Linked DNA regions of Ovis aries. The protein of the gene in region 3 purifies or fractionates together with the protein of the main gene of each other region. This does not show direct contact. Links are inferred from orthologs where the notes say so. Each region holds a gene or a part of one and is shown on either strand. Other genes may lie near its edges.

Region 1 (3,981 bases), on a different chromosome or scaffold from region 3:
AAAATAAAAACCATTTAAACTCTATAATCAAAGAAGCCATGTAAATGCCTTTCCTTCCCTTGTTAGTAGAGGGGCTCCACTGACCCTGTGATCTAAAGAGAATCTGCAAGGAAATTCCATCTTCCAAATGGTTTTTTCCAAATTCCCAAACAGTAAAGCCAATCAGAGGAAGAAATATTAAAAAAAAAAAAAGACCATATTTGTTTTGTTTGTCCTGTATAAAAAAGGATCCCAATATAAAGGTATAAAGAAGGGGAGAACAAGGGACATATCTCTTGGTGTAAGGACACAGGATAAGGATAAGCCTCAAAAAGAAGGGTGGGAGGGGAATATTGTTAAGGCAGTAAAATATTGTCTGTAAAAAGTTGGAGGAGTCGTCTCCACAGCTTCAGAGGTGAAGGCAGAGGTTGCCTTCTCAGTGGTGGGGCTCTCCACTCAAGTGTTCAAAAGAAGGGAAATTTGTGTCTCTCGCCTTGGTTCTGTTCCAGCCATTCTGTTGCTCACTCTGCGTCACCTTCTGCCTTGTGTAGATAAGAGTGCTGCAGGGCTCGGAAGGCAGAGATTCGCTTGTGTGGGTTAAAAGTCAGCATCTCCTGAGAAGAGACGCAAATGTCAGAAAACATGGAAGAAACAAAAGGGACTCCTGCTTAACCCTAACAATACCTAGAATGGGTGATTTTTTTCTATCCCTCTTGTGGCCAGCCGTTCAAAACAGTAATAAAAACCAACCTGTTCATTATCAAGTCTCAGTAACAACAATGCATTTGGGTCCCTTTTATCCTGCTCCATTTCCCCCCACTGATGGCTCAAGTGGTAAAATAAACTGCCTGCAATGCAGGAGACCTAGATTCAATCCCTGGGATGACCCGCTGGAGAAGGAAATGGCAACCCACTCCAGTGGGCTACAGTCCATGGGGTTGTAAAGAGTCTGACAGGACTGAGTGACAAACACGTGATTTCCCCCTGTAGTCTCGCCCTGTGCCCATGCCTGAGTCTATTACCAGCAGCAGCTGTGCTCCGGATTCCTCCAGCTCAGGGACCACTGACTGCACTGGGCGGGGCCCTCTGGGGGAAAAGGCTCCTCGGGGTAGAGAGACATCTCGGGGCCAGTCATCCTCCGGGGGCAGTCCGATCAGGCTATGGGGAACAAGAGAATTCTGGTCAGGAGGGCCTTTTTCCAGCCCCCATCTCCAGGGGCAGAGCCAGCTGCTGTCAAGGACTCAGCAGAATGCAAAGTCAAGGACTCGGAATGCAAAGTTCTTCCCCCTTGCAGGTCACTTACTCAAAGATTTTGCCTAACTGGTCAGCTTCAGAGTTTCCACAGAAGAGAGGCCTAAGGTGAAAAGAGACAGTCATTCCAGTAGCAGTTTTACAAAGACAGGGTGGTAGATACTGTTTAGTGGCTCAAAACATAGGGTGTGGAGAATAAAGGGCTATGAAATTCCTAATTCCAGAACATTTCAGAGTTTCCGGCTATGGACAAGGTGGCCAATAGTAAGTGGAAGAGCAGGCAGGGTATAGGCGTGGCTTATGAATAAAAAACTTGGGAAATTCAAAATGTTTGGGATACTTGGGCCCCATACTTTCGACGAAACATCTCTGCAAAGATACAGCCAACACTCCACATGTCCACGGGTGTTGCATACGTAGACTGCAAAAGAACTTCTGGAGCACGATACCAGAGTGTAACAACCTGATGGGAATAAGTAATGCGGATGAGAGTCCTGCAAGTTACTGCAAAGCACATGGAAAAACACGCTCCTTCTCAACTGTTATGGGCAATCACTCTTCTCCCCCAGCCAGACCCCACTCTGGCCCCATCCTGGCCACCATCATTCTACTGACCACAGGTGTAAGTGCCATCTGGTAGCTGTAGATTCTGGCCAGGCCAAAGTCAGCCAGCTTGACTGTCCCACCACTTGTCACCAGAATGTTCTCTGGCTTCAGGTCTCGGTGAACGATGCAGTTGGCATGAAGGAAATCCAGGCCTCTTAGAAACTGGCGCATCAGATCCTGGTTTGGAAGGGGGAAGTACAGAGAAACTGGGAATCAGGTGCCACACCTGAAATTACAACAAACTACCACAAAGGTCTCAAGCTATCTCTCAGTGTCTGCCCGCCCTACTTACCTTTATGGTCTCCACTGGCAAGCCTGGTGGGGGTGCCTTGTCCAGATACGTCCTGAGGTCTTGGTCCACATGCTCAAACACCAGGGTCACTTTGGTCTCCCGGTCAGTTCGGGCTGTTGCACAGACGTCCATGAGCCTGGCCAGAACAAATGGTCACTCATTGAGCAATGGTCTTGGACCCAACATGGCCTCCCCTATTTCCTCAGGGTTCCCACTCCTCTTCTGACCACCACTCCACATCTACAGGTTAGGCTGTCTTTTTCCTTTCACGACCCATTCCCACCCTTCCATCTTCTTCTCACCTGACAACATTGGGATGCTCAAAAGCCTCCAGACGCCGCAGTAAGGCCACCTCCCGAACGGTGCTGATGGGCAGGCCCCCTCCAGCACCTCCTCCGTTGGGGACTCTCACACTCTTGAGGGCCACAAAGTGGCCACTGTGAGGATCACGGGCCTTGTACACTGTCCCATAGGCACCGACACCAATCTCAGCCACTGGCTCGTATCGAGAGGTAGCCATTCTCAGACCAGAGGAGGCCCTACAATCACAGAGGCTCAATGAGCCTGCAGCAACAAAGTGACTCCCACAAAAGACATCACGAAGACAACACCAACAGCATTCCCAAGCTTCCCTGAAGGCAGCCCCCTAGGTAACACAATAACTCTAACCCCAAACCCTCCAGCCACGTGAGGCCCTATAACTTTTTCAAAGATGCATTTTCCTTGGGGACCATCAAGCCCCACACAAGGGAAATCCCATAAGACACACCCCCTACATCAAAGACCCGACACCCAGTTCCTGAAATTACACCTCCCTTCGGCCACAAAGGAACATTATCACATCCTGCCCCACTTCCCGCCCTCGAGCAACCCTTCCATAACCAGCCCGCGTAGGAAGCAGTGGACGGCGAGAATGGTCCCCATTCCTGAAAAGGGCTACACTCACCTCGCCCCGTGTCAGGAGCTGCGGGGTCGGCCCGTTATCCGGACCCCGGAGCCGGTTCCTGCAGCGCCATACACTCGAGGTCTGTCCTGGGCAGCTGGACGCTATGGGCCCGACCATAGACACAGGCCGCAGGCTAGAGCGGCCCCCTTTACCCCCACCCTCACCATGTGACCAGCTGCCAAAGAGGCGCGCGGAAATTGGAGGGGCGGGGCCAACGCCGGACGTTCGGACCACGTGACCGGACTACTCATGCGCGGAGGGGCAGCCAGAAAGCGGCTTTGAACGAGAAAGGGGCGAGGAGGGGAAAGAGGCGGAGAGAGATGGCAACCACATGATCTGTTGCTATCACACGTGACCGCTTGACATTGCTTGGAGGAGCAGAGGTGTGGTTACGCTGAAGGGCACGTGACTGGCTGCCTTAACTCTGGCTGGGCGTTGGGGCGGGAGAAGAGAGAGGGTGGAGTCCAATGCGATGCCATGGCAACCTGGGCCACCCAGGATTCCCAACTCCGGGCTGCAAGCCGAGCCTGAGTCTCACTACCTGTCTCTCACTCTCTCTAAGCGGGGAGATGGGTCGAGGGACGGGAGGTGCTGCTGTCGTCTTTCTGCTCCATCGCTAGCAGAAAACATGTTCTCATTTGTGTCTTTGTTTCATTCATTCATTCAGCAAATGTTTACTGAGTCCTTGCTTCCTGTGTGTCTGTGGGGTTTCTTTTTTTTGTTAATTTTTTTTCGACAAGTGTCGCAGACACTTGACCTTTATCTATAAAGATACAGTCACATAGTTTATATGTGGTCATATAAAATAGGGAGTAGACGGTGCCCAGTTCAGTTCAGTTGCTCAGTCGTGTCTGACTCTTTGCGACCCCATGGACTACAGCACGCCAGGCTTCCCTGTCCATCACCA
Region 2 (4,003 bases), on a different chromosome or scaffold from region 3:
GATATTTCAAGTCTAAAATTGATGGGTGGGGGGCAACTAGGAATGTGTTAAAAGAAGAGATGATTAGTGGGTGGGTGACATGTCCCCCACAGGTCACTGGAGGAGAAGAGCCACTAGGGGGCCCTTCCCTATCCCAAATCTCTCTTCTCTGTGGAGCAAACAGCAGGAGGGCACTCTGGTCCGACCCAGTAAGGGAAGGCTCCTCTAGAGGCGATAGAGTCTAGGGCTCTCAAGATAGCTTTGGGCAAATCCCACATCCGTTCTGTGCATTTCCCATCTGCAAAAATGAGGTTGGACTCTAGCAGACTGTTCTCTGGAGCTGTGCAATACCACAGGAGGTGCACTGGCTAACTCAGGGCCTGGGAACCGTCCCCGCTGGTGTTTACAATAGTTCTAGTAGTAAGTTTTCTGCAGCTTAGGACTCCATGGCATATTGTATTTTAGAAAACGGTTCTGCAGCTAAAAATGAATTTGAAAACATTGGACCAGACTCTCCCTCCAGGGTTCTATGAAATGTTGATGTACTTCCTATTATGACAGTATGCAATTTGCTCTCCCCACCTCTAAGACAGGGTCGGTGGTCTAGCTCCAGGCTGGGAGAGGGCAGCTGGGGAGACGGTGAGAGGGAAAGTCCCTGGTGAACATCTCTCCCACGTCCCATTGCGTGTGCACCGCCCCAGGAGACCTCTGCCAGCGCCAGGTGAGCCCCGCTGCATCCCCCAAGAGCTTGGAGAACAATGGTCCCAGCCACGCAGCACCCTATGCCCAGCTAGCAAGGGGGCTCATAAGGTTGAGTGCCCCACCCACCCACCCCGCCACCTACAGTGTCGCAGCTCCTTCTTGAAGGCCTTGTGGTTGCCCAGCTCCTCCAGGAACGTCTGGCCAGTTTTGCGGAGGGCCTCGGAACTCTTCTTGGTCAGGAACCAGCCGAAGTAGAGCGGCAGGAAGTCCTTCTCCAGCCCAGGCTTCAGCTTCTTCAGATCGTCTGCTGACAGCTGCCACTGGTTCTTCTCCTTGAGCTGGGCACAGTCCAGCCGCCAGGCCGTCTTGGGCTCCACCAGCACCACCTGGTACTGGTACTGGTCGGCCAGCTCAAAGAGCTGCTCCAGCCGCTCCCGCTCATGGTTGGTATCATCCAGCACCAGGACCCGGACATCCCGGCGGCAGTAGGCAGCCAGGTCCTCGTCCAGCCGCTTGTACTCCTCGGAGAAGGCCCCCCGGGCGCCGGGGGTGATCTTGTAGCTGTCGGCAGACACCATCTTGGTGCCATCCCGGTACCTGTCCACGATGAACCGGGCCAGCGTGGACTTGCCGCTCCCAGGCAGGCCTCGCAGGATGAAGAGCGTCTTGCACTCCTGCAGCGTGGCCACCGTCTCCTCATCCTGCAGGAAGGGAAACTGCAGCTCTGGCTTGTCCTTGGCCCCTGAGGATGACATTTTGCGGAAGAAGACCTTGGGCAGGAACGTCTGGCTCTTTCGGGAGAAGCCTCTACTCTGTGTGAGGAGGGGAAGACAGGCGTCAGCCAGGTCACGCAGGGCCGCCCCGCCAGCCTCGCCTCTTCTTCTCAGGCCTGGCCCTATCCAGGAATCCCCCCACTCCAGGCACCCCAACCCTTGATTGACAGGCACCCCCGGGGCCGTGGGCGCCTTCCCAAGCCGTGAGGTTCTAGATGGTCTCTCCTCCGTCCTTGGGACCTGAGGGCTTCTGGCTGTGCAGTATGCAGAGGGCTGTCTGGGCAGTCCCAAACTCTTAAGGAGAATCGTGGCCTCAAGGATCACCCACTGCGGCCACCTTGAAAGGAAAACTGGTGGGAAGTGCCTGCAGGGGAGGGCCTGAAGCCTGCGATTCTAGAAGTGAAGCCTAACTTATATTCCTGGCCTCTATTAAGGATGACCTCTTTGGAGGTGGAGGGCTCTATGTCTGGGTAAAACCACAGCTGCCCTGGCCCCTGAGGGCATCGAGGAGGGTGGGGGTGGAGAAGGGTCACCCAAAGACCGCCTCCCTTCCCCCAACAATGCCAGTAACAGATAATACTCTCTTGTCTGGGATTGGGGGACAATGGTCCCACAGAAGGACTGGTGGGGGGCTGGGCCAGAGAGCGCTAGACAAAGGGCTTCATTCAGCACAGCCTGCCACCTCCTCCTCTGCCCTGGGCCCCCCACAAAGTCGTGGTCTTTGTGCCTGCCTCAGGACTGGGCGGTACAGGGCACCTGCGTCGGAGTCTAGGTCTTCGCACCCCTTGCTGTGTGTCAGCAGCACCTCTCTGAGCCACTTGGGTTCCTGCTTGCGCAAGCCACAGGCGGCAACACTTTTTACTGTAAAGCGCCTTTTCCTCTAAGCCGCGAGGCCCCACCTCTCGCCAGCACCCAGACAGCTCAGCAGGCGCACATTATCTCAGACGAGGCCCTGGGCAGGGAGGAGGTGCCGAATGCCCGCCCAGCGGCCCAGTGCTCGCTACCCCGACCCACCCGCCACCCGGGTGTGCTCCGAGGGAGCTGCTTCTGAGGCTCGATTCGCTACTTCCCTTCTTTCTCCAGCGCCAACCCCTCTCCCCATGCTCCCCGCGGCGCCCCTACCTCAGCCAAGAAAGCCCCGACTCAACTCCGGAACCTCGAGTCCTCATTTGCATGCCACTTCCTCCCCCCCGCCCCTAAGTCCCCCAATACTCTCGTTTTGCATTAGGGTCCCGGCCCAGCCCTCCCGCTCACCATGATGAGAAGGGGTCGCCGCCGTCGCCGCCTTCGCAGCACTAGCTCTCCGGGGCCGCCCGCCTGCGCGGAGGGACACGGAGTCTAGCGGTGGCACGAAGCCACGCGGAGCCGCCTTACATAGCCCGGGGCGGAGCGGGGGCGGGCCGGGGGCGGAGCGGGGGCGGGCCGGGGGCGGAGCGGGGACGGGCCGGGGCGGGGCGGGGGCGGGCCGGGGCGGGGCGGGGGCGGGCTGGGCCGACCCCCTCTGCGCAGGCCCTGCGAATCGAAACTCCACGCTCACTCAGCCCTGGGAGGAAGCTGCGGAGCGCTGCGCCCCGCCCGCTGCGGGCGCGCCAGCCCTGGGCCAGCACCTGTTTGGAGGCGCCTGTGCAGGGGCAGGGTATGGGGGCTGGGGAGCGGGGGTTTGGCCTCTTTTTCTTGCACCCCGGTAATGATGCACTCGGTAAAGAGGCAAGCAGGCACCCCCCTCCCTGGCCCAGTGTAGAGATTAGATTTGAGGCAAGATTGTGCAAGTGCGAAGGCGAATCCTGTCTTTCTTTAAAATTTTGATATTTTACTCATCATCAGGCTGTTGGTTTAAAAAATATTCACAACCTGAAAGCTGAGAGTTGTTTTATTCCGCGGGAATTTTTAGGATTTCAAGCCAGGGAGATAGCATCTCAAGTAACGCTGAGAAAACTGCTCTGAGCAGGCGAGAGTAGGAGCTGCATTATATAGAAGTTTTCCAACAAAGGGCAGGTAATCTGAACGTGGAAAAGATTATTGTTAAAGAAAACCAGGTATCCCAAGTTAAGGAATTTAGAACTTTTCTATGTATGGGAACATGCAAGAGTGTGGACTCACTGAAATCATTCCTTTAATAGGCACCTCAGCTGTTTGGAGCCTGTGTCCTGCGTTTTTCACATCCTGAATTTCCTTTCCTCAGGGCCCAACCGTAGGGAGTGCTTTGGTTTCTGCTAGATTGCAGGTAGTCCCCTTTCTGTGCGCCCTTGGGGCTCACCAGCTCACCTTCCATGGTGGCTGCAATCGCTGCTGGCTGTGACATCCTTGTTTACTGATGTGGCAGGAAATATTCAGTTTCTCAGAGTTCTGCAATTTTTTTTTTTTTTGCGATATTGCGTTAAAATACTGTTTCTCTTGCTTACTGAGTTTTTTGACCCTATGTTCCTTAAAAGTTGCAGCTGAAATGCCTCACTTGCCTCCCCCTAGTCTGGCAGGCCCAAAGTCAGCCTCTGCCCCAATCAAGCCCAACCCTTCCAGGAACTGTGGAGCTGGAACTAGGATGGCAATGG
Region 3 (4,012 bases):
TGGGCTTAGGCTCAAGTCCCCAAGGCAGGAAATTTTATGACCGCAAAAGGCCTCTTAAGACTAGGGTACACATATGCTGTTTTAAGTGAGGGGACAGTTCTTTCAGGGTAGGTTCAGTTAATCAGGTCCTAAGGTGGGGGAGGTGTCTCTCATGAACCCGAGGCAAAGTCAAACTCATGATGGGAGATGCAGAACCCTATTCCAGAGGGACTCTATCCATGCCCCAAGGGAAAGGTCTCAGGGCTCAATTCTGGTCCTGGGAGACCTCCTGCTCCCAAGGAGTGCCTTAAGTTCCTTGAGGGGGAAGCGTGGACCTCATCTCTAGAGACATGCCAGTTAGTGAGGTATGTATGCATCTCTTATCCTTGAGGGAAAGCGCAAGAATCCTTGGCACAGTGGGTCTCAGATGCCCAAAGAGAATACTCAGACCAGTCCCTGAGTAGTAAAGTCCCCTAGAGACCTTTGAGGAGGATATCAATTTCCTGAAGAGGGCTTCAGACCTAAAAGCCCAGTCTATAAGCAGGGGGAATCCTAGGCTCCAGTATACAAAACAGTGAGTCTCATTTTCTTGAAGAAAGGTTTAAGCTTGGGGGAGGCGTGTCCAGCCCTTAAAAAAAGCTTAAGCTCCTAGAGAAAGATTCAGACTCTTGTCTCCAAGGAGGTCTCAGATCCCTTAGAGAAAGCACAGACCCCTGTCACTTAGAAAGGGATGAATCTCATGTACCCTAGTAGAGTTTTTGGTCCCAGGGTGTTGGTTTTGATCCTAGTACTCAAGTGGAAAGAGATCATAGGAGAATATGTATGTGTGTGTGTGTGTGTGTGTGTGTGTGTGTGTGTGAGGTCCCTGACTTCTAGAAAAGGGAGTCTCAGACTCCACTGCTGCATGGTCCTGTGCTGTATCCCCCTGAGGAGGAGAAAGGGTTGTCCTATATAGTGTCTCAGACCCCTGAAAAGGATTTAGGTATCCTGGGGACACTCGTATCTCTGAGGTAGCCACCTTACTTGTATTCCCAGGAGGAGGAATCTTAAGAATCTCATTCCAGGGGAAAAGAAATTTCAAGTCACCAAACACAAACCAAGGTCCTTTGGAGAGTCACGAGACTCTCCTTGCCTGTCTCTCCTGGGGAGTGCCTACCTACTGGCCCTACACGATGAGGCCCCAGGGCCCACAATCAACTATGGGTCCTAGAAGAGACCACAGACTCCATCTTTAAATCCTCCATCTTATCTGGGGCCGCTAATCCCAAATCCCTGGGGGGGGGGGGGGGGGCGGGGTGGGAGAGTATATCGCAACCCCATCACCAGGGAAGAGTGCCAGACTCAAGAGAAAAGACATAGGCCCCTTGGAGCAGGCTCAAACAGCCTTCCTTGGGTTCCTAGCCAGTCTAGGGATCCCGTCCACCACACTCACTCACCTCCCCCATCCCAATGCCCATACCTGCTCGACGGTGGCGGGGTCCATGGCCTCTATACGCGCTGCAGCCGCTTCATATTCATCCTCACTGTTGTAACCTGCGCCGACCTCCTCACGCTCAGGACTGCCCCCGCCAACCGCACCAACCCCGGGGGCCTGACGCCGCCGCTTGCTGTGACCCGGCCCTGAGCAGCAGCCGCCCACACCCACGGCACCGCCCACGCCCACCACCACACCCGCCGCGCCCACGCCCGTCGCTGCTGTACCCAACGCATCACCAGGACCGCCGCCGGGACCTCCGGGGCCCCCGCAAGGAGGTGGAGAGGCCTGCTGTGGCCGAGGACCCGCCACGGCGCCAGGCGGCACGGCCAGCGCCCAGCGGTGAAGCGCACCCGGTGGCCCTGGAAGAGGGCCTTGAGGCGGTGGCGAAGCCCGGGGACGGGCCCCCACGACGCCCGAGTCACGGTCGCGGTCGCCGCCGCCCACACCCGTGCCGCCGCCGCCCACGCCTACACCCCCGCCGCGGCGAGGCGCCGGGGGCAGCGGTCCGGGCGGCGGCGGCTCGTTGGCGGGGTCGCCGTCGGGAGGCGGCGGCTTCTTTTTGGGGAGAATAGTCATGGCGGCACCGCCGAGTAGCCCCCAGCAAACCCGCCGCGGGGGACGCTGGGAGAGGACCCGGATGGGGTGGGGGGGGCTACAGTGGTGCGCGAAGGACGACGGGATCGCCGGGACCCGGATAAAGAGCTCGCTGCACCGGTTCTCGAACCGTCGGCGGAACGCGGGTCACGCGGCAGGAGAACCCGGATGTGAAGTCCAAGATTAAGGCACCGCGGCGAGCTTGTCGTAGCCTCTCCAAGTCCAACAACTTTATTGCTACGCTCGTTCCGGCCTACGGCTTCAAAGGAAACAGAACCAAAACAAGCACCTCTTCGCCCCGCCCCCTCGCAGGTTCTTGAACTACCGGGTGGGGCCTGGAACGTTGCGCAGGCGCGCCGGGGCACAGCCCCGCCTCTTGTTCGGAAGTACGTGGGCAAAATCTTCGCCGCCGCCACAACAATTGCGAGCACCAACCAATCGAAGCGGTTGCGTGGGTGTTCGATGATGACCACGGGCCAATCAGAAGCGGACGTCGCCCTCCCCTGCCCTCCGTCTCAGATTTCAGTCAAAGTCGGCACCCTTGTTCCTTGCCTTTCCCTTCACTGGTTCCGTCCGGCTCTTCTTTCCCCGAGGCTCTGGCTCGCAGGCGCGGGCACTGCGACAGAATAGCGTGGCTTGCCCACGCACAAGTTTAAAGTCGCCTCCCTTCCAGGCTTTTAAGTTGGCCGAAGTCAGCCGGACTGACTGCAAAAATATCAACACTCCCAGAGCTTAGCTAGCCCTTGAAGCGTCAATTCCGGTTCCACCCACCTACAAATTCACATCCGGTGGAGAGGCGGGCGCCGCCTCACCCTGGCAACAGGCCGAGTTCCGCGGTGATTGGTTAAGAGATGCCACCACTCAAGTCGGACGGGCCAACCTTGGGACAGACATGCATCGTGGGGACAAGTGGGTGTTTGGGAAGCAAACACGCCCTCTCTGGCATCCGCGTACACTCGCCCTCGCGTTGACCTCCCCGCCTCCGTGGCTAGCGCGCAGGCGCGGCACATAATTTTTTTTCTTTTTTTTCCCCCTCCTCTGAAACTGTTTACCTGAATCGAGCAATGTTTATAAACCAGCTCGGTCACCAGCCAGCGTCTTTACTGCAGGAATTTTACCTGCTACTGAACGAATGGAGAACTACAAGCTAATCCTAGCTGTGCCTCTTCAATCTGGGTGATCTCTGACAAGTCATTTAATACCCACCCCATCCTTAATTTCTACTTCTCTGTAAATGGCAATGATAATCCCAATTTAAGATAAAAGGTTAATCCTTGCAAAGGGTTTGGTGCAATGCCTGGCACATCACTAATTAGTCTGTACTGTGGTGCAATGGAAAGGACCCCAACCTTTTGAGTCAGGAAGACCTCAGTTCCAGGCACATGTGGACCATTACCACTGTATGACCTTGAGGAAGTCAGTGTCTCAAATTTGAGGTTGCTGCTGCTGCTGCTGCTGCTGCTAAGTCGCTTTAGTCATGTCCAACTCTGTGCGACCCCATAGACAGCAGCCCACCAGGCTCCCCCGTCCATGGGACTCTCCAGGCAAGAACACTGGAGTGGGTTGTCATTTCCTTCTCCAATGCATGAAAGTGAAAAGTGAAAGTGAAGTCGCTCACCCATGTGTAAAACAGGAATGATAACGCCTTCCCAGACTACCTCTAGTTATGGGGGTGAGTTGAGCTCATGAACGAAGAAAGTGTTGTGAGATGCGAGGGCTCCTTGCCAGTGTTAGGAGCCAAGCCATATAATAGGCCATCATATAACTCTCTTCAGTGCCACCTAACCTTCTCCCTTCAGATGCCAACCCTAGTTAAAGGTCTTCCCTGAAAGGTGTCAGTAATAAAGACTATAATAGTATTTTCTGCTTATGAGACTAAATTGGAGGAGAAGACTCACGTTTACTGAGCTTCTTGTGTTTAGGGCACTGTGCCAAATGCCTATGCAAATTATCACACTGAAT
Region 4 (4,140 bases), on a different chromosome or scaffold from region 3:
GGGCTGTGACCGCGCTTTACAAAGCAAAATGCGTAAAGCCCTTTGTAGGGATAGGAGAAGACAGTCTTATTTTAGAGTCTATCCGAACTTGCATAGCTTTTTACAGAGGCACAACTGTTTCTTCTCCTTCCAGCGCAGGGAAATCACTGCAGGCTCCCTTCTTTTGACAGCGTGAATTTAGGGGAAGATTTATTGAAGGGGATTTATTTACACTAATGAGAATATGATTACCTGATGCAAGATATACTTATGAGCGCCTACTGTGTACCAGGCATTGAGCTGGGCTCTTTATAAAGAATAAAGAACCTGAATTACATGCCAGTTCTTTCCCTGGAGTAGAAGATCCGATATACAACGGTTTCTTAGGGTCAGATCAGGACACGAATACAAAATAGTGTTCCTGCGCCTCCCCCTGGAGAGAAAATGAAGTAGGAAATGAGATTGCGCATGTGGAAAAGCGCTTAGCTCCCACGCTTGCGACGCAGCAAGCCAGTCCCTAAAATGTGTTCTATAATGGTAACGATAACTAATTAGAAATATCTGAGGAGTATTGAGAACTGTGTCAGACTCGGTGCTAATTCCTCTAAATGTATTTAGTGAATTTTACTCTCCCTCAAACAAAGAAGTAGTATTGATCATCCCGTTGCGCAGATAAAGAAACTGAAGCATAGAAAAACCTGCATATCTAATGTAAGAACACTTAAAGTGATGGAGCTGATAAGGTGTTTTATTTACTGTTTTATCCACAAAACCTATAGCAATGCCTGCCGCAGTAGACGGTGAATTTGTCGTTGTGGGAAAAGTGGGTGATTAATATCTGCTTTTGAAAAGTTTTTTTGTTTTAAGAAATAATTAAAGACGGGTGACTGCAGAACTAGTCCAGAGGTCCAAGTACTCTTCTCCCAGTCCCGGACCTAGTACTGTCAATCATCTTACACCATATCAAACCTTAATCTTAGTACAATCCACAGACCCTGTTCACATCGTAATATCCTTTTCACTGAAGTGCTTGGCACTTTGCAAAATGACATAGTTCCTAACATATGGTTAATAGTCGCAGCTAAAATGCCACTCTGCTTTCTGCATCTAAGTAGTGCATCCTGGAGGCGTGCACCCAGCTCGAGGCAACCACGCCCCCGGGAAAATCCAAGCATGGAATGCAGACCCTTGGTATTAGAGCAGCCCCGCCGCCGCCTAAGGGGTTACCCGGGCGGGGTGCTGTTGGGGAGGGTGTTCATGCGCTTGCGCGCCGCGTCGCTTCGCTCCGCCCCCGAAGCGCGGTCAGATGACCCGCCCAACCGGCGTCGGCCTATAAAGTCTCGGGTGTTGACGTCAGCGTTCTCTTCCGCCGTCGTCGCCGCCATCCTCGGCGCGACCTAGCTCGCTCGGATCTGCTTGGGAGAATCCACCGCCATCCGCCACCATGGTGAGCAACGCTGTTCAACCGGGGACCTGAAACGGCAGCGAAGCTTCGGCAGGGCTGGCGCTGCCAAGCCTGGGGTCTTGTGGCCTCCCTGACTGGGAGGAGACATGGCGGCGGCGGGGCCGGCGGGGCCGGAGCAGGTGAAGCGGCTGCCGCCATGTCTGCGCGCCGCACTGCTCGCGACCTCCGCTTCCGGGGGCGCCGCCGCCTCGCGGGGTCCGGGGTCCGGCTAAAGCTGGGGCGGAGGCGGGGCGGGGGGTATGATGATGTGGCAGACGCTGTAATGGCGGGCGCCGCAGCGCGAGCCGGGAGAGGGGAGCCGCCTTATGTAACCCGCGGGCCGGGAGTTTCAGTCTGATTTTTTGTCGGGAGCCGTGGGCGTCTTGGAAATGGCTAAAGGAGAGAAGAGTAAGACCTTTAGAAGCGCCCGATCTTCTCCCGCTGTGTAATGTTATTTTGGTCTCTTGTCTTTCTTGAACCTCCCAATTGTGAACACCTGATCCTGGAGCCACGAGGTGGAGGTTCGCGCCTGTTAGGGCTGCGCAACCCCCCCTCCCCCAAACCGGGGGTGGCATATTTACGAATCAAAGGTGGGGTGTTGGCTCTGACCCCCACAACCCCAGCGAGGGGTGACCTTGGAGTTCGGAGACCCCTTTTGGTTGGGAAGCCTCGCGGTATACCAGTGGCCGCACAGTGGGACACTTGAGGTTCAGCCAGACCCCATGAGACTCCAGTATCTACTAGTATAAAGGGAATCTGTTGTCACTCATTGGGACTTAGTCCCCAGTTTCCGTTCTGAGTTGTCACTTTGGGTGTGACAGCCAAGATTAGGCTTTTCAGGGACAGGGTGAGTTGGACATCTTTAAAGGGGTGTTAACAAAGGGGGATTTAGGTCGGAGTTGGCAGCACCAGGGACCAGCCTCTTTTGGCTAGGGCCTTGCAGCCTCTATTGATCAAAGTCTCTGTGCCAAGGGTCCTTCCTGGAGTGCTGGCCTGTCATGACCCTCCCCTCCTCCACCCTGCCCAGGTGAACTTCACAGTAGACCAGATCCGGGCCATCATGGACAAGAAGGCCAACATCCGGAACATGTCTGTCATCGCCCACGTGGACCATGGCAAGTCCACTCTGACAGACTCCCTGGTGTGTAAGGCGGGTATCATCGCCTCTGCCCGGGCTGGGGAGACCCGCTTCACTGACACCCGGAAGGACGAGCAGGAGCGTTGCATCACCATCAAGTCAACGTGAGCAAGTCCCCTGGTGTCGTCTCCACAGGGAAAGCGGGGTGCTGCTTGCTCTGAGTCCTTGGTAGTGGGCGGGCTGGATAGACATAGGCCTTTTCTCACAGGGTTTTGGGGAGAGGAGCACTTTGGAGCTGGGCTTCTGAACTGGGAGGGATGATGGAGCTTCATCTAGTGGGATGGGCACCTTTGTCTCCAGGGGAAGAGGCACAGTGACGGGTGGTAGAGTTAAGGAGGTTGGAGGGGAAGGGAGCTGGGGGCTCTTGGCAATATCTGGAGAAGTCTGAGGATGGTATTGGCATCTGGGGTCAATGCCAAAGTCTTGCTCTGCGCACGCCAGCCTCCTGTGAGTTTTCTGGTCCCAGATGTCATGGTGAGAACCTCCCTCCACCCCAAAGAAAAAGCAATGATGGCAGTTGTCTTCATTTAGTCGTTTGTCCTTGGTCGTTGCTCTGAGACTCACTTCCCTGCAGGGCAGGGAAGGGTGGAAAGGAGCCTTTGGGCTTTCTAGCTCCTATGCAGTAGCTGCTTTTTTACAACAGGTGTGTCAAGCCTGGGACGACCTAGGTGGACTCTGGTGCCAGGGAAGTGGCTGTCCCTGGCAGAGGGTGCAGCAAAGATAAATGTCCCAGATGGCGGTGGCTTTTCTGTTGGGAGTCTTAAGTTCATCTTTAGGGATGAGTAATGCAGGGAGAGGGGACAGGTTGCAGCATCTGCCTGGCTTTTTATTGGATCCCAGCCTCATTTAGGAATGAAGAGTGTCCGTCCTGACTCCCCCTCGGTGGGAACCTGATTGACCACAGGCCAGGCTAAGGTGTGGCTTCCACCTGGCTCACCTGTCCCCATTGTTTCAGGGCCATCTCCCTTTTCTACGAGCTTTCAGAGAACGACTTGAATTTCATCAAGCAGAGCAAGGATGGCTCTGGCTTCCTCATCAACCTCATTGATTCCCCTGGGCACGTCGACTTTTCCTCAGAGGTGACAGCTGCACTCCGTGTCACTGACGGTGCCTTGGTGGTGGTGGACTGTGTGTCTGGTAAGCAGTGGGCACCCCCTAGGACGGCTTGGAACCTGGTGCTGTCCCTTCTCTGGCTGCAAGAGCCGCCTCATCCCCTGCTGTTCTGCAGGTGTGTGTGTGCAGACAGAGACGGTGCTGCGCCAGGCCATTGCTGAGCGCATCAAGCCAGTGCTGATGATGAACAAGATGGACCGGGCCCTGCTTGAGCTGCAACTGGAGCCTGAGGAGCTCTACCAAACCTTCCAGCGTATCGTGGAGAATGTCAACGTCATTATCTCCACCTATGGCGAGGGCGAGAGTGGACCCATGGGCAACATCATGGTAGGACAGCCTGACTGCTGGGTTTAGGGTACTTTTCTCTGTCTTCATAGTAGTCCCTTCACTGCTCCTGTGGGGCAGACTGGAAGGGCTGTGGTCTTGAGCTGCCCCTGGGGAACTGCTTCTGAATCAGTGACTTCCT
Region 5 (4,141 bases), on a different chromosome or scaffold from region 3:
TAGATTCTCAAATTAACCCACCAAGTACTAAGAGTCAATGACACACTCTACTAGTTGGCCATCAGTCAACTATCCCAGGAGGCTGCAAGCAAGCGCTACATGTGATGTTTAATCTATGGCATCATAAGACCCAAGAACTGCCTTTCAAATCCTAAAGATTAAATTAGTTGTTAGCGTACTGTAAACATTCTGAGTATTAAGCCATTCTGTACAGCATATACACTGTGTGTGTATTTATATGTATAATCACATACATCCATATGTGTAGTTGACCCACGAACCCTTGAAGCTGGGATGCGCAATCTCCACGCAGTCAAAAATCAGCACATAACTCTACAGCCAGCCCTGCACATCCGTGACGGCAGCCAAGGGTCCTAACACTTATACACTGAAAGAGACCTGCATGCGGTGGGCTCATGCAGTTCAAACCCATGCTGTTCAAGGGCCCACTGTATACTGACACACATATGAATGTCCATCACAGAAAGTCTATAAACGGGTTGCTGATTGTATGCGTTTTAGAGCATTTCTGGAGCAAGGCTGAGAAAGTCACACTCCCTGAACTCCTGTATCTTGAGACTACACAAGATCCCTTACACGATTCAAAGCGCGCCTCTCTCCGAGGTGCATTCCATTTGTCTCAAGGCAGGTCACAGGTTTTCTCCCTGGACAGCACCTTGCTGACAACGTCTTGTGAACACCTGCTCTTCTCTCTCTTTTCCCCACGGACTGTGGAGACGTATCTTGCTCTCACACTTAGACAGCCCCTCAAAACACAGGTTCACGGAAACCACGTGGACGTGCTCCACCCCATTTCTGGCTCAGCTGGGAGAGCACGGCACACTTTCACAGCCCAGAAGAGATTCTTCAGAGGTCGCATTTTCAGAAAGAAAAAGGAGCCACTGAGGTCCTTCCACAGTGACCTCTGACATCATTCATAACCCTCAGCACTGGAGCTCTGGGCGATTCAAAGAGGAGGAAGACTTTTCAAGCCTTGTCTGTGTGCTCTTATTCACACACCCCCTCTTCCCGTTAATATGCTTCCATTTAGGTTCCTTCTCTCCAGTGAGCTTCTTCCAGTGAATTCCAAGATTTAAAAAGCATGAACTGGAAGGGCCTTTAGAGAGCTGTAACTCTCATTTTTCAGGTGAGCCTATTAAACACCAAGGAGGCTGGTGATGTGACCAGACCCAAACAAGGACCTGGCGGCAGCGGTGGGATGACTAATAAGTCAGCACATAAATTCTGAGTCCCTATCATAACCCAGGTTCTGGATATTTACCACCACCCGGTCTCTATCCTTGGGAAGCTCATATTCAGATGGAGGCACATAGCAGCTGAGTTAACAGCGTGGATTCTGGAGTCAGGCTGCCTTGCCTAGCTCTGCCAAGCACCAGCTGAGTAATCTGAGACCCATAACCTGATCTCTGTGAAACACAGTTTTCTCGTCCAAAAACAGAATTCGTAACACCGAGGCCCGAATGCTATCGGATTTACGGTGAAGTATACTAATGTCTGCGACTGAGCGTGACATGCAAAGGCAGCCTGCTGGAGGGCTAAATGGACAGACAGAAGACAAGCAACGGCGTGAAGTGTCGCTTGTAGAACCTGGGCACACAGGTACACAGCTCTTTCAGTTTTGCCGTACGTCAGAAGAGTGCCATAAAAAAGCAGAGAGGGGCAGTCTAAGGATGGAGGGGACGATAGGACGATGGAAACGGGGCTGCTTAGCACGTGGAGAGGACGCAGCGACTCTGCAGTGATAGCCTCTCAGACAGCTGAGGCTGGATAAAGAGAAGCTAGTCACCTTAATCCTGCCACAGTTTCCCCTCTGCAAGCATGGTGTCCAGAATGGAGGCTTCTCTTTGGCCCTTTCTTAGCACAGTTAGGCTAGAGGGCAAGAGTCTTGGCCTGGACTGAGAGCTGCTGAGCCACAGCAGAGGTCCTGGCAACGGGCTGAGGGGGACTGCTACACAGACAGCACTGTCTCAGGAGTCAGAAACACAGGCACAAACTCCAGTGTTACTAAACTGAGTCGCCAGGGGGCTGGGTGGACAGGTCTCTCACCCTGAATTTTTTCATCTACAAAAAAAGCAACAATTAAAAAAAAGAAAAAAAAAGAGCCTGAATAGTTCTGTGATAATAATGCAGCAGAAAGGACCGGGCACCGCCATCCCTCGGTAGATATGGGCTTTAAGTGGAATGGTCAAAAAGGACTCGGTACCCGTCACCTGCCGAGCCTGGCCACTTGCCGGCTTTAAAATCCCAGGGCCTCGCAATGCGCTCTCAGAAAGCCCCCCAGAGCCCGTCCCCAAAGTCTAACACTCCCGTTGGGCGGTTTAAACGTTGTGTCCGAAACGCGCGGTCCGGGAGAGCAGGGTTCCGCGCCGCCCCGCCGCCCGCCGCAGCCCCGGCCCCGCCGCAGCCCCGGCCCCGCCGCAGCCCCGGCCCCGCCGCAGCCCCGGCCCCGCCGCAGCCCCGGCCCCGCCGCCCCGCCAGGCCCGCCCCGCCGCAGCCCCGGCCCCGCCGCCCCGCCAGGCCCGCCCCGCCGCCCCGCCAGGCCCGCCCCGCCGCCCGCGCCACACCTCACGCGCGTTCTCCTGGCCCACGAGGCCCGAGGCCGCCTGCTTGGCCAGGCCGCTCTCGTCCAGCCCCAGCCCCTTCACATGGCTGTGGGAGGCGATGCGCTGAGTCTTCGTGGTGCTCTTCACCTCCTCGATCTTCATCCTGACAACCGCAGCCCCCGAGCCCGCACAGCCCAGGCAGCGCGCACCCCGTCACCACGAGGCCGTTACCAGGCGGTTGGTCCCGCCTAGGTCGGCGTCCCATTGGCCGCGGCGGGAACGCCTCCGCGCTCCATTGGCTCCTGGCTGCGCCCGTCGCGGCTGCCGGTAGGGCCCGCCCACCAGCTTCCGGCGGTGTCCCACGGTTGGCTTCCCCCGCGGGGGGCGCTTCCTTCCTGGGTAGGGACTAGCCGGGCGGCGCTGCGGCTCACTAGGGGCGCGCGTCCCGCTCTTCACCGGGCCTTCCGGCCGTGAGCGCGTTCGAACCGATACCGCTCTGCGGAGCTCAAGTTCGACCTCGGTGTCGGAGACGAACAGACAGGTTTAGAACTCAAGCTTCGACCTGCGCCGGCTGAGCAGCTTTCTGACAGCCACTCCTGCCGCCGTCTTCGGGGAGGCCGTGCTCAGCGTCCTCAGGGGCCTGTCCTCTGCGTCCCCTCGCCTCCGCCTCTCGCTTTACTCGTTTAGGGTAATTCCTAGTCCGGATGAAGATGCGGGCGCAAAGAGGCCCCGCAAGTCACCCAAGAGCGCGCAGCAAGTAATCAGCAGTTGGAATTTCTGCTGAGGGCTTAAGGCGCGGCAGCCTGTGGGACCCTCATCCCAGCCCTCGGATTGGACGGTCATCCCGCGGCTGCGTCCTGTCCGTTCCATGAAAATGTCAGCGCTGCCTGGAACAGTGTGCTCTTCCCATCCACCCATCCGTTCAATAAACGTTGGTTTGCACCTGCTCTGAGCCGGACACTCCACGATGCAGGCTTAAATACAAAGTCTGCAGCCTTAACAAGCTTAGTCCTTAGTTGGGAAGCTTGCGATGGTGAGGTGTGCAAGCCCCAAGCAGGCCACCTGGAACAGCTGGAGAGCCTAGGAAGGCACCAGAAGGTGATATGGTAATGCCCACACGGAACCCTGATGGCAGGCTAACGTTCTTAGGAGAAGATGGTGCTTTGCCATGTCGCAGGTAAGTGGACTCAGGTCCAGAGAAACGAGGGACTTGCCCAGAGCTCAGGGGGGCCTTTCTGGATCGGGGCTGAGACAGGCCTGAAGCCACATCGTGCTGCAGTGGTTGCTGACTCTCGTCTCTCCTTGCGCTTCTCCGTCATCACTTCTGAGTCTAGGTTTCCAGTTACTTGCATGACTGTCCGGTCAGAGTCAGCCTCTCCCACTAAACTGCAGGCGCTGTGAAAGCGCAGACCTCGTCGCTGCTGTCCGTCATTTTAGCGTCAGTGTCTGGCTCATAGCTAAGGCTTCTGCCCGGTTCTGGAACCCCGCCCCCCCCCCCCCCCCCCCCCCCCGTTCCCACGGAGTCAGGCAGTTTTGCTGCGTGTATTTTACACACTGGATCTTAACCGGACTTGGTA
Region 6 (3,500 bases), on a different chromosome or scaffold from region 3:
TTCTGTAAATTTTTGTATTGGATACACTTTTAATTTTCATTGTTAGTTATTAACCATCTCTGCCCTCTGGATCTTTAAATTTTGAGTTATTGAGTGTCCTGTGTTTTACTCTTGGAAAACACATTCTCTTAATGAAAAACAACAAAAAATAACACATCCATGTATGTGTGTATGTAGGAGTAAAGAGTAAGATATAGCTAGGAGGGTAGTTGAGTATAGATTTTAATCACGATCCTAGTTAACCTGTGAAAATAGTCATTTGGAAAATACAATAATATTGTATAGTGATGTCATTGCTTATTATCATGTTTGTTCCCTTTTAACTCACTGAGTGTGATTTTTTTCTTCCTTCCCCCAGCACCCTTTGACAATGATAATGCTCTTCTCTGGAGACCTCTACAGTCTTCTGAATTTCCTCAGTTTTGCCAGGTGGCTTTTTATTGGGCTGGCAGTTGCTGGGCTGATTTATCTTCGATACAAACGCCCAGATATGCATCGTCCTTTCAAGGTAACCTCAGCAATCTTCATGGGTTTACATAAATCTTCCTCCTAATATCTGGTCCTCTCTTTGTCATAACTTGATGATGAGAAGCTTGGGCAGAGGGCAGAATCCTCTAAAATAAAACGTTTAACTCTTGCAGGTAATGCCTTCATATGGGATTTATTTTAGTTTGGAAAAAATGGTTGATTAGCTTGTTTGTGATGTACAGAGCTTTGTATGTCGCACTTTTGAAAAGGAGTATTAATATTAAATGGTCGTTACACTGATTTTTCATTAATGTGCCTAATGATCTGATACATTCAAAGTATAGACTACTCTTTTATGCTGAATAGTTGTGGACAATCATGCTGAGAAAGAGTGAGGCAGATACATATGAAATCATCACTAATTAATACTCTAAAAAGGAATTATTGTTATTTAAGAACTAAATCATGTCTGACTCTTTGTGATCCCATGGACTGTAGCCTGCCAGGCTCCTCTGTCCATGGGATTTTCCAGGCAAGAATACTGGAGTGGGATACCATTTCCTTCTCCAGAGGGTCTTCAAAAACCAGGGATCAAAACTATTTCTCTTGCATCTCCTGCATTGGCAGGCCAATTATTTATCACTAGCATTACTAGGGAAGCCTCTAAAAAGGATGCTGCTTTTCAAAAAAGGCATTTTGAGTATTCTTGAATGTTATGACTTGTTACATTGGCCCTTTTCTGCATCATGCACTCCAGAAGTAATAGAGATGTAAAATACTTAAGAAAGTGAAGATGTCTGAATTTACCACTTAATAGAACATCCATTTACCATAACGATGCATTTCCTTTTGGGAAGGCTGACGAATATGCTTCTCATCTCCTTCAGCCTTGAATGTTCATGGTTTGATTTGAACTCACTATGTATTTGCTTTTAAGAAATAACACAGATAATGTTGTCCATCATGTTGTCAGCATTTTTTTTCTAATTATATTCATTACCTAATGCTAGCGACATCTTTATTAGTGGTTGAATAGGAGTTGGCCTATTTTATCCCTGTCAGTTCATATTGTGAATCTCCAACAGAAAATCAATATGCACTGAAAGGCTTTAACATGTAACAAGCAGCCTGTGCTCTTGGCTCTACATTAAAGTGGATTCTAATCATAATTATCAAAGAAGCAATCTTTTACAATCAGAAACATAAATCATAATGGTACTTAACTAGTAAAATAATTCAAACAGAATGTCTCTAATGAAACACACTTATTTATCCTTAGATTTTGTTCTACCCAAAGATTTATTTTTAATTTAAAGGAGTGTTTTCAAATCAGTATCTGCTCTGTGCCCTACTCAAGAGATTTTCGTAGGAAGGTAAGTGGGATGGTGCCTGTCACCTGGTCACGTGATCAAAGTGTATCACCTGATCTCATGACTGCAGTGCTCAACTCGGATCTACCTTCTGTCTCCTAAGCCATGCTTGAAGTGGTTTTCTTTTTTGCTATGTTCCAGGTGCCGCTGTTCATCCCAGCTTTGTTTTCCTTCACGTGTCTCTTCATGGTGGCCCTTTCCCTTTATTCAGATCCATTTAGTACAGGGATCGGCTTCATCATCACTCTGACTGGGATTCCTGCGTACTATCTCTTTATTATATGGGACAAGAAACCCAAGTGGTTCAGAAGAATGTCGGGTAAGATTTTTAAGCAGTTTTAGGACCTTTGAGAGACTGTGTTGTAGAAAGTCCATCTCTGCATACGTATATGATACATACCTTAAAGTCTGAAAATACCACTTAGGAAACTGCTAATTTGAATATATTACTGCATTCTAATGAGAACTTGAAGAAGAAAAGGCCGGAAGGATTTTTAGGGTAGAGTCACTGAATCCTTTGAGGGTATTTAGTTTGATTTTCTTTAATCACTTCTTAGAAGAACAAATTTTTGTATAGAATTTTTATAAGCAGTACTATAAACAACCTAATTTTTCTACTGAATCCTTCACTTACCTAATTGTTTTTATCCTGGGCTGAATGCACTTTATTGATTCTATATGATAACACACTAATTAATGAGTGGTGTGAGATTTGGTGGGAGGTCATGTAGAGTCTGAAAAGTTCTCAAGTATCATGATTTCTTTTATTATAATATTGCCCAACTGGTGAATCATGGAGAATCATAGGAACAGTAAGAATAATCAAGAAAAGAAGAGCAGTTGACAATTACTGAGTAATTTCTATGTGTTAACATACAGATATATAACCATATTTAATCCATAATCATATATATAACCATATTTAATCCTTATATCAACTTTCTGAGCTAGAAAAAAATTATCTGTATTTTATAGATTTTGAGTTATGATATGGAAGAATCCATACAACCAGTTCCAAGTCATGAAGATATTAAGTAGGAGACCTAGAATTCCCACTTGGGCAGATTTGCACTTTCCAAAAGTCATCCTGATGAGAGGGACAAAGAGAATGGAACAGAGAGCATGAGGCTGAAGACATTCTCAAGAATAGTGATTAGTGGTTATCACAGTAATCCTGACAGAACTGAGAAAAGTCTGAACACAGGTGATGTTGGCAGGGTCCAAAGGAAAATGAAAGATATTAAAGATGAAAAATCAGCAGAGCTTGGTGAGCAGGTGTGTTGAGGGAGGAGAAAATATAGGAAATCAGTAGGTAGGAAGAGTACTTAGGAATAGCCTCTGCCAAAAGCCATCAAAAGCCTGTCCCTCCGTCAGGGGCTAGGAGACTCTCTCTTACATCACCGTCTCTTTCATTCCTCCACAAGAGCCACGTGTGAATTTGTTGATTTCTATACCCAGATGGGACAGCCAGAATGCAGGAAGATGTAGCACTTTTTAAAAAATGTATTTCTCTTTGACTGAAGGATAATTGCTTTCCAATATTGTACTGGTTTCTGCCATAGATCGACAGGAATCAGTCATGTTGTACGTTAGGTACAAACATGCCCTCTTCCTCTTGAACCTCCCCCATCTCTCCCCACCCCTCTAGGTTGTTACAGAGTC
Region 7 (3,500 bases), about 41 Mb from region 3:
ACCAAGCAAACTTCAAGTTTATCCTCCATGTTCCTGATTATATTTTCATCAGTCTTTTCTTTGTTACTAAGTCATTGTTTCCTTTAGCCCCCTTTTCTGCCCTCTTTATCTTTCTCTCTCTAGCTTTTATTTATGAAATCCATAGGGAATCTTCATCACATATCTGATTGGGTGTAGATCTGAGTCAATTTTTGTCTGTCCTTAATATGTTCTTTTTCTACTTTTTTCTTAAATCTTTGCATTGATGATGATTACTTCCTTGTGAAGAATAGCAGTGGGAAGGAACATGGGATTGAACAGGAGGGCAACATGATGACTTTTTTCACCAACCTTTTCCACTGGTCACATGTTTCTGTCAGGTTGCTTTACTTCTACAAAATATCAGATTGATTCTAGTGGAAGCACACAGTTCTTTTATTAAGCAGACACTCCCAAGATATGGGAGCAGACCAACAGCAAAGGGGTGGTAACAACTCCCACTTGGCTTCCCTTTTTATATTCCCTGTCTCCTCCTCTTGGTTCTGCCCTATGCAAAATAGGGCTTGTACCTACCACCAATCAGGAAAGGGAATGCAAATTGGCATACACACAAGGCTGATTGACAGTTGCGAGTTACATAATAACAGGCTGTATTGTGCATCTCCTTCCCATAATTCAGTCTGTTATAATCAGATGTATGTATGTATAGAATATTTATGAACCCTTAAAGCTGGCTACGGTTACTTGAGGACACAGCTGTGCATCAAGGGCGCATGTGCTGGAGTTGGAGAAGCCACTGTGATTATTTCTGTAGCATATTGTGAGCTCTCCTGGGTGTGTCTGGGTTGGTGTTTAGACATCAGCTTGCATCCTTTTCACCTAGACCACCCCTCTTGTTCATGCCTAACTTCCTACCTAACAATTCTGATTATTCTCTTTTGTCGTCTGTAACCCTTGCCCCTTGTATTCATAAGTTCCTATGTGGTAGGGAACAGGCTAGCAAAGTAATGCTCAAAATTCTTCAAGCCAGGCTTCAGCAGTGTGTGAACCGTGAACTTCCAGATGTTCAAGCTGGATTTAGAAAAGGCAGAGGAACCAGAGAGCAAATTGCCAACATCCGCTGAATCATCAAAAAAGCAAGAGTTCCAGAAAAACATCTACTTTTGCTTTATTGACTACATCAAAGCCTTTGACTGTGTGGATCACAGCAAACTGTGGAAAATTCTTCAAGAGATGGGAATATCAGACCACCTTACCTGCCTCCTGAGAAATCTATATGCAGGTTAAGAAGCAACAGTTAGAACCAGGCATGAACCAACAGACTGGTTCCAAATTGGGAAAGGAGTATGTCAAGGCTGTATATTGTCACCCTGCTTCTTATATGCAGAGTACATCATGTGAAATGCTGGGCTGGAGGAAGCACAAGCTAGAATCAAGATTGCCAGGAGAAATATCAATAACCTGAGATAGGCAGATGACACCACCCTTATGGCAGAAAGCGAAGAAGAACTAAAGAGCCTCTTGATGAAAGTGAAGGAGGAGAGTGAAAAAGCTAACTTAAAACTCCACATTCAGAAAACTAAGATTATGGCATCCAGTCCCATCACTTCATGGCAAATAGATGGGGAAACAGTGACAGACTTTATTTTCTTGGGCTCCAAAATCACTGCAGATGGTGACTGCAGCCATAAAATTAAAAGACGCGCTTGCTCCTTGGACGAAAAGCTATGACCAACCTAGACAGCATATTAGAAAGCAGAGACGTTATTTTGTCGTCAAAGGTCCATCTATTCAAAGCTGTGGTTTTTCCAGTAGTCATGTATGGATGTGAGAGTTGGACCATAAAGAAAGCTGAGCACCAAAGAATTGATGCTTTTGAACTGTGGTGTTGGAGAAGACTCTTGAGAGTCCCTTGGACAGCAAAGAGATCCAACCAGTCAATCTTTAAGGAAATCAGTCCTGAATATTCATTGGAAGGACTGATGTTGAAGCTGAAACTCCAATACTTCGGCCACCTGATGCGAAGAACTGACTCATTGGAAAAGACCCTGATCCTGGGAAAGACTGAAGACAGGAAGAGAAGGGGATGACAGAGGATGAGATGGTTGGATGGCATCACTGAGTGGATGGACATGAGTTTGAGCAAGTTCCAGGAGTTGGTGATAGACAGGGAAGCCTGGCCTGCTGCAGTCCTCAGGGTCGCAGAGTCGGAAATGACTGAGCGACTAGACTGAACTGAACTGAACTGCATGGTAGGGTAAAGATGCTAGTTTCCCACCCCGTTTAAATCACCTTCAAGTTGAAAAGCAGGTGGGAAGTAGATAAAGAAATTGGACAGATGGAGCTCAAAAGATCAGCTGTGTTACTGCTGACACTTGATGGTGTGGCTTAGATCTCAACTATTGATGCAGTTGTGCTTTCTAATAGTTTTCCTCTACTGGGAAAACCTGCGGGAGGGAGAGTTTGCTGCCTCATACCAGTCACCTCTCCAAATTAGGGAAAGGGCAAGATCCCAAACATGGACCTGCAGTCTGAGTGCCTGTGCTGCCCACGTGGAGGGAGAGCTGACTTACCCAGTCCTCACAGAAAGGTGTTGGGCTGGGCATGCTGCAATGGGTCGTTCCAAATGCACCAATCAGAGACAACTTCCTCCCACCTCGAGTGAGGGGAGGGGTGCCTGGGAGCCCCAAGGGCTGGTGGGGCAGGTGACTGACTTGACAGGCGCTTCTCCGCGTCAGCTTCCCAGAGGCCACCATTTCTCCTTCTTACGTCGTATTAGGTTAATTAGAAACAAAAACACTTTTTTTGGTTTCTTTGGCTGAGACCAGCAGCTGCAGGCTTGCTCAGCACTTAGGTAGCCCAGGGCTTCGTGCTCGTGGAGATGCCACCTTTTAGCCTCCTCAGCTGAGAGTAGCTGCTGCGGGCCTCTGGTCAGCCTGCAGGCCTCCTCTACATCCTCTCAGTGACTGCTCCCCACTGGCTGGTGGGCTGCCCAGGGTTTGCAGGGCTGGGCCACTCTGCGTCCTTCTTCCGCTGGGAATTCGGCATTCAGCACCCGTAGCGGCCCTCCTCGCATAGTTTTTAGTTGGCATTTTAGGTGTTTTCTAGTTGCTTCAAAGATGGCACTTCTGCTCTGTGTTTCTCTGGGGTTGGTGGGTTTCAAGAGAGATGGCATAGCATTTAAATGACTAAATCTCTGTTGGGTCAGTGATATTAATTTCAGTGACATGGATAGTAACACTAGGCCTGGAGCTTGTCTCATTTGCCAGGTGGTTTTCAGGTTATTTGGGAGGTCAACAGACACTAATACATTCATTTCTCATAACCGTGACACTGAAATACTCTTTTGTGCTAATTATTACCTCTTTCTGCAGTTGTCCCTCACATTACTGATGCTGTCCAGGAGTGGGTTATGAATCAAGCCATGGTGCCCGTGGATGGTCATAAGGAAGAGCCCCAAATATGCGTTATTGAGGCAAGCATGGAACTTTATTTCTATATAAGTTTGTATCCTTATTAGT

What was found.
Region 1: the proteins of OTUD5 (region 3) and CDK4 purify together in Homo sapiens (affinity purification with mass spectrometry, with the first as the bait; 4 studies listed by BioGRID). This does not show direct contact. The link is inferred for Ovis aries from reciprocal best matches to the Homo sapiens genes OTUD5 and CDK4.
Region 2: the proteins of OTUD5 (region 3) and CNP purify together in Homo sapiens (affinity purification with mass spectrometry; 3 studies listed by BioGRID, with this or other methods). This does not show direct contact. The link is inferred for Ovis aries from reciprocal best matches to the Homo sapiens genes OTUD5 and CNP.
Region 4: the proteins of OTUD5 (region 3) and EEF2 purify together in Homo sapiens (affinity purification with mass spectrometry, with the first as the bait; 3 studies listed by BioGRID). This does not show direct contact. The link is inferred for Ovis aries from reciprocal best matches to the Homo sapiens genes OTUD5 and EEF2.
Region 5: the proteins of OTUD5 (region 3) and RUVBL1 purify together in Homo sapiens (affinity purification with mass spectrometry, with the first as the bait; 3 studies listed by BioGRID). This does not show direct contact. The link is inferred for Ovis aries from reciprocal best matches to the Homo sapiens genes OTUD5 and RUVBL1.
Region 6: the proteins of OTUD5 (region 3) and SLC7A11 purify together in Homo sapiens (affinity purification with western blotting; 3 studies listed by BioGRID, with this or other methods). This does not show direct contact. The link is inferred for Ovis aries from reciprocal best matches to the Homo sapiens genes OTUD5 and SLC7A11.
Region 7: the proteins of OTUD5 (region 3) and CTPS2 purify together in Homo sapiens (affinity purification with mass spectrometry; 3 studies listed by BioGRID and IntAct, with this or other methods). This does not show direct contact. The link is inferred for Ovis aries from reciprocal best matches to the Homo sapiens genes OTUD5 and CTPS2.

What each region holds. Positions count from the first base shown.
Region 1 is NC_056056.1:161,900,495-161,904,475, reverse strand, and holds CDK4 (cyclin-dependent kinase 4), read right to left. Parts: upstream 2,649-3,981; coding exon 2,431-2,648; intron 2,265-2,430; coding exon 2,129-2,264; intron 2,014-2,128; coding exon 1,846-2,013; intron 1,694-1,845; coding exon 1,584-1,693; intron 1,334-1,583; coding exon 1,283-1,333; intron 1,138-1,282; coding exon 1,002-1,137; intron 594-1,001; coding exon 501-593; downstream 1-500.
Region 2 is NC_056064.1:41,862,419-41,866,421, reverse strand, and holds the start of CNP (2',3'-cyclic-nucleotide 3'-phosphodiesterase), read right to left. Parts: upstream 2,801-4,003; 5' UTR 2,712-2,800; coding exon 2,709-2,711; exon of another isoform or gene 2,577-2,708; intron 1,494-2,576; coding exon 824-1,493; intron 1-823. UniProt on the Homo sapiens protein: Catalyzes the formation of 2'-nucleotide products from 2',3'-cyclic substrates. May participate in RNA metabolism in the myelinating cell, CNP is the third most abundant protein in central nervous system myelin.
Region 3 is NC_056080.1:56,126,291-56,130,302, reverse strand, and holds the start of OTUD5 (OTU domain-containing protein 5), read right to left. Parts: upstream 2,801-4,012; 5' UTR 2,033-2,800; coding exon 1,439-2,032; intron 1-1,438. UniProt on the Homo sapiens protein: Deubiquitinating enzyme that functions as a negative regulator of the innate immune system. Has peptidase activity towards 'Lys-48'- and 'Lys-63'-linked polyubiquitin chains. Can also cleave 'Lys-11'-linked ubiquitin chains (in vitro).
Region 4 is NC_056058.1:17,828,224-17,832,363, forward strand, and holds the start of EEF2 (elongation factor 2), read left to right. Parts: upstream 1-1,340; 5' UTR 1,341-1,423; coding exon 1,424-1,426; intron 1,427-2,450; coding exon 2,451-2,665; intron 2,666-3,516; coding exon 3,517-3,698; intron 3,699-3,789; coding exon 3,790-4,001; intron 4,002-4,140. UniProt on the Homo sapiens protein: Catalyzes the GTP-dependent ribosomal translocation step during translation elongation.
Region 5 is NC_056072.1:59,390,508-59,394,648, reverse strand, and holds the start of RUVBL1 (ruvB-like 1), read right to left. Parts: upstream 2,801-4,141; 5' UTR 2,727-2,800; coding exon 2,586-2,726; intron 1-2,585. UniProt on the Homo sapiens protein: Possesses single-stranded DNA-stimulated ATPase and ATP-dependent DNA helicase (3' to 5') activity; hexamerization is thought to be critical for ATP hydrolysis and adjacent subunits in the ring-like structure contribute to the ATPase activity.
Region 6 is NC_056070.1:19,545,137-19,548,636, forward strand, and holds part of SLC7A11 (cystine/glutamate transporter), read left to right. Parts: intron 1-358; coding exon 359-508; intron 509-1,979; coding exon 1,980-2,157; intron 2,158-3,500. UniProt on the Homo sapiens protein: Heterodimer with SLC3A2, that functions as an antiporter by mediating the exchange of extracellular anionic L-cystine and intracellular L-glutamate across the cellular plasma membrane.
Region 7 is NC_056080.1:14,927,440-14,930,939, reverse strand, and holds part of CTPS2 (CTP synthase 2), read left to right. Parts: intron 1-3,353; coding exon 3,354-3,454; intron 3,455-3,500. UniProt on the Homo sapiens protein: Catalyzes the ATP-dependent amination of UTP to CTP with either L-glutamine or ammonia as the source of nitrogen. Constitutes the rate-limiting enzyme in the synthesis of cytosine nucleotides.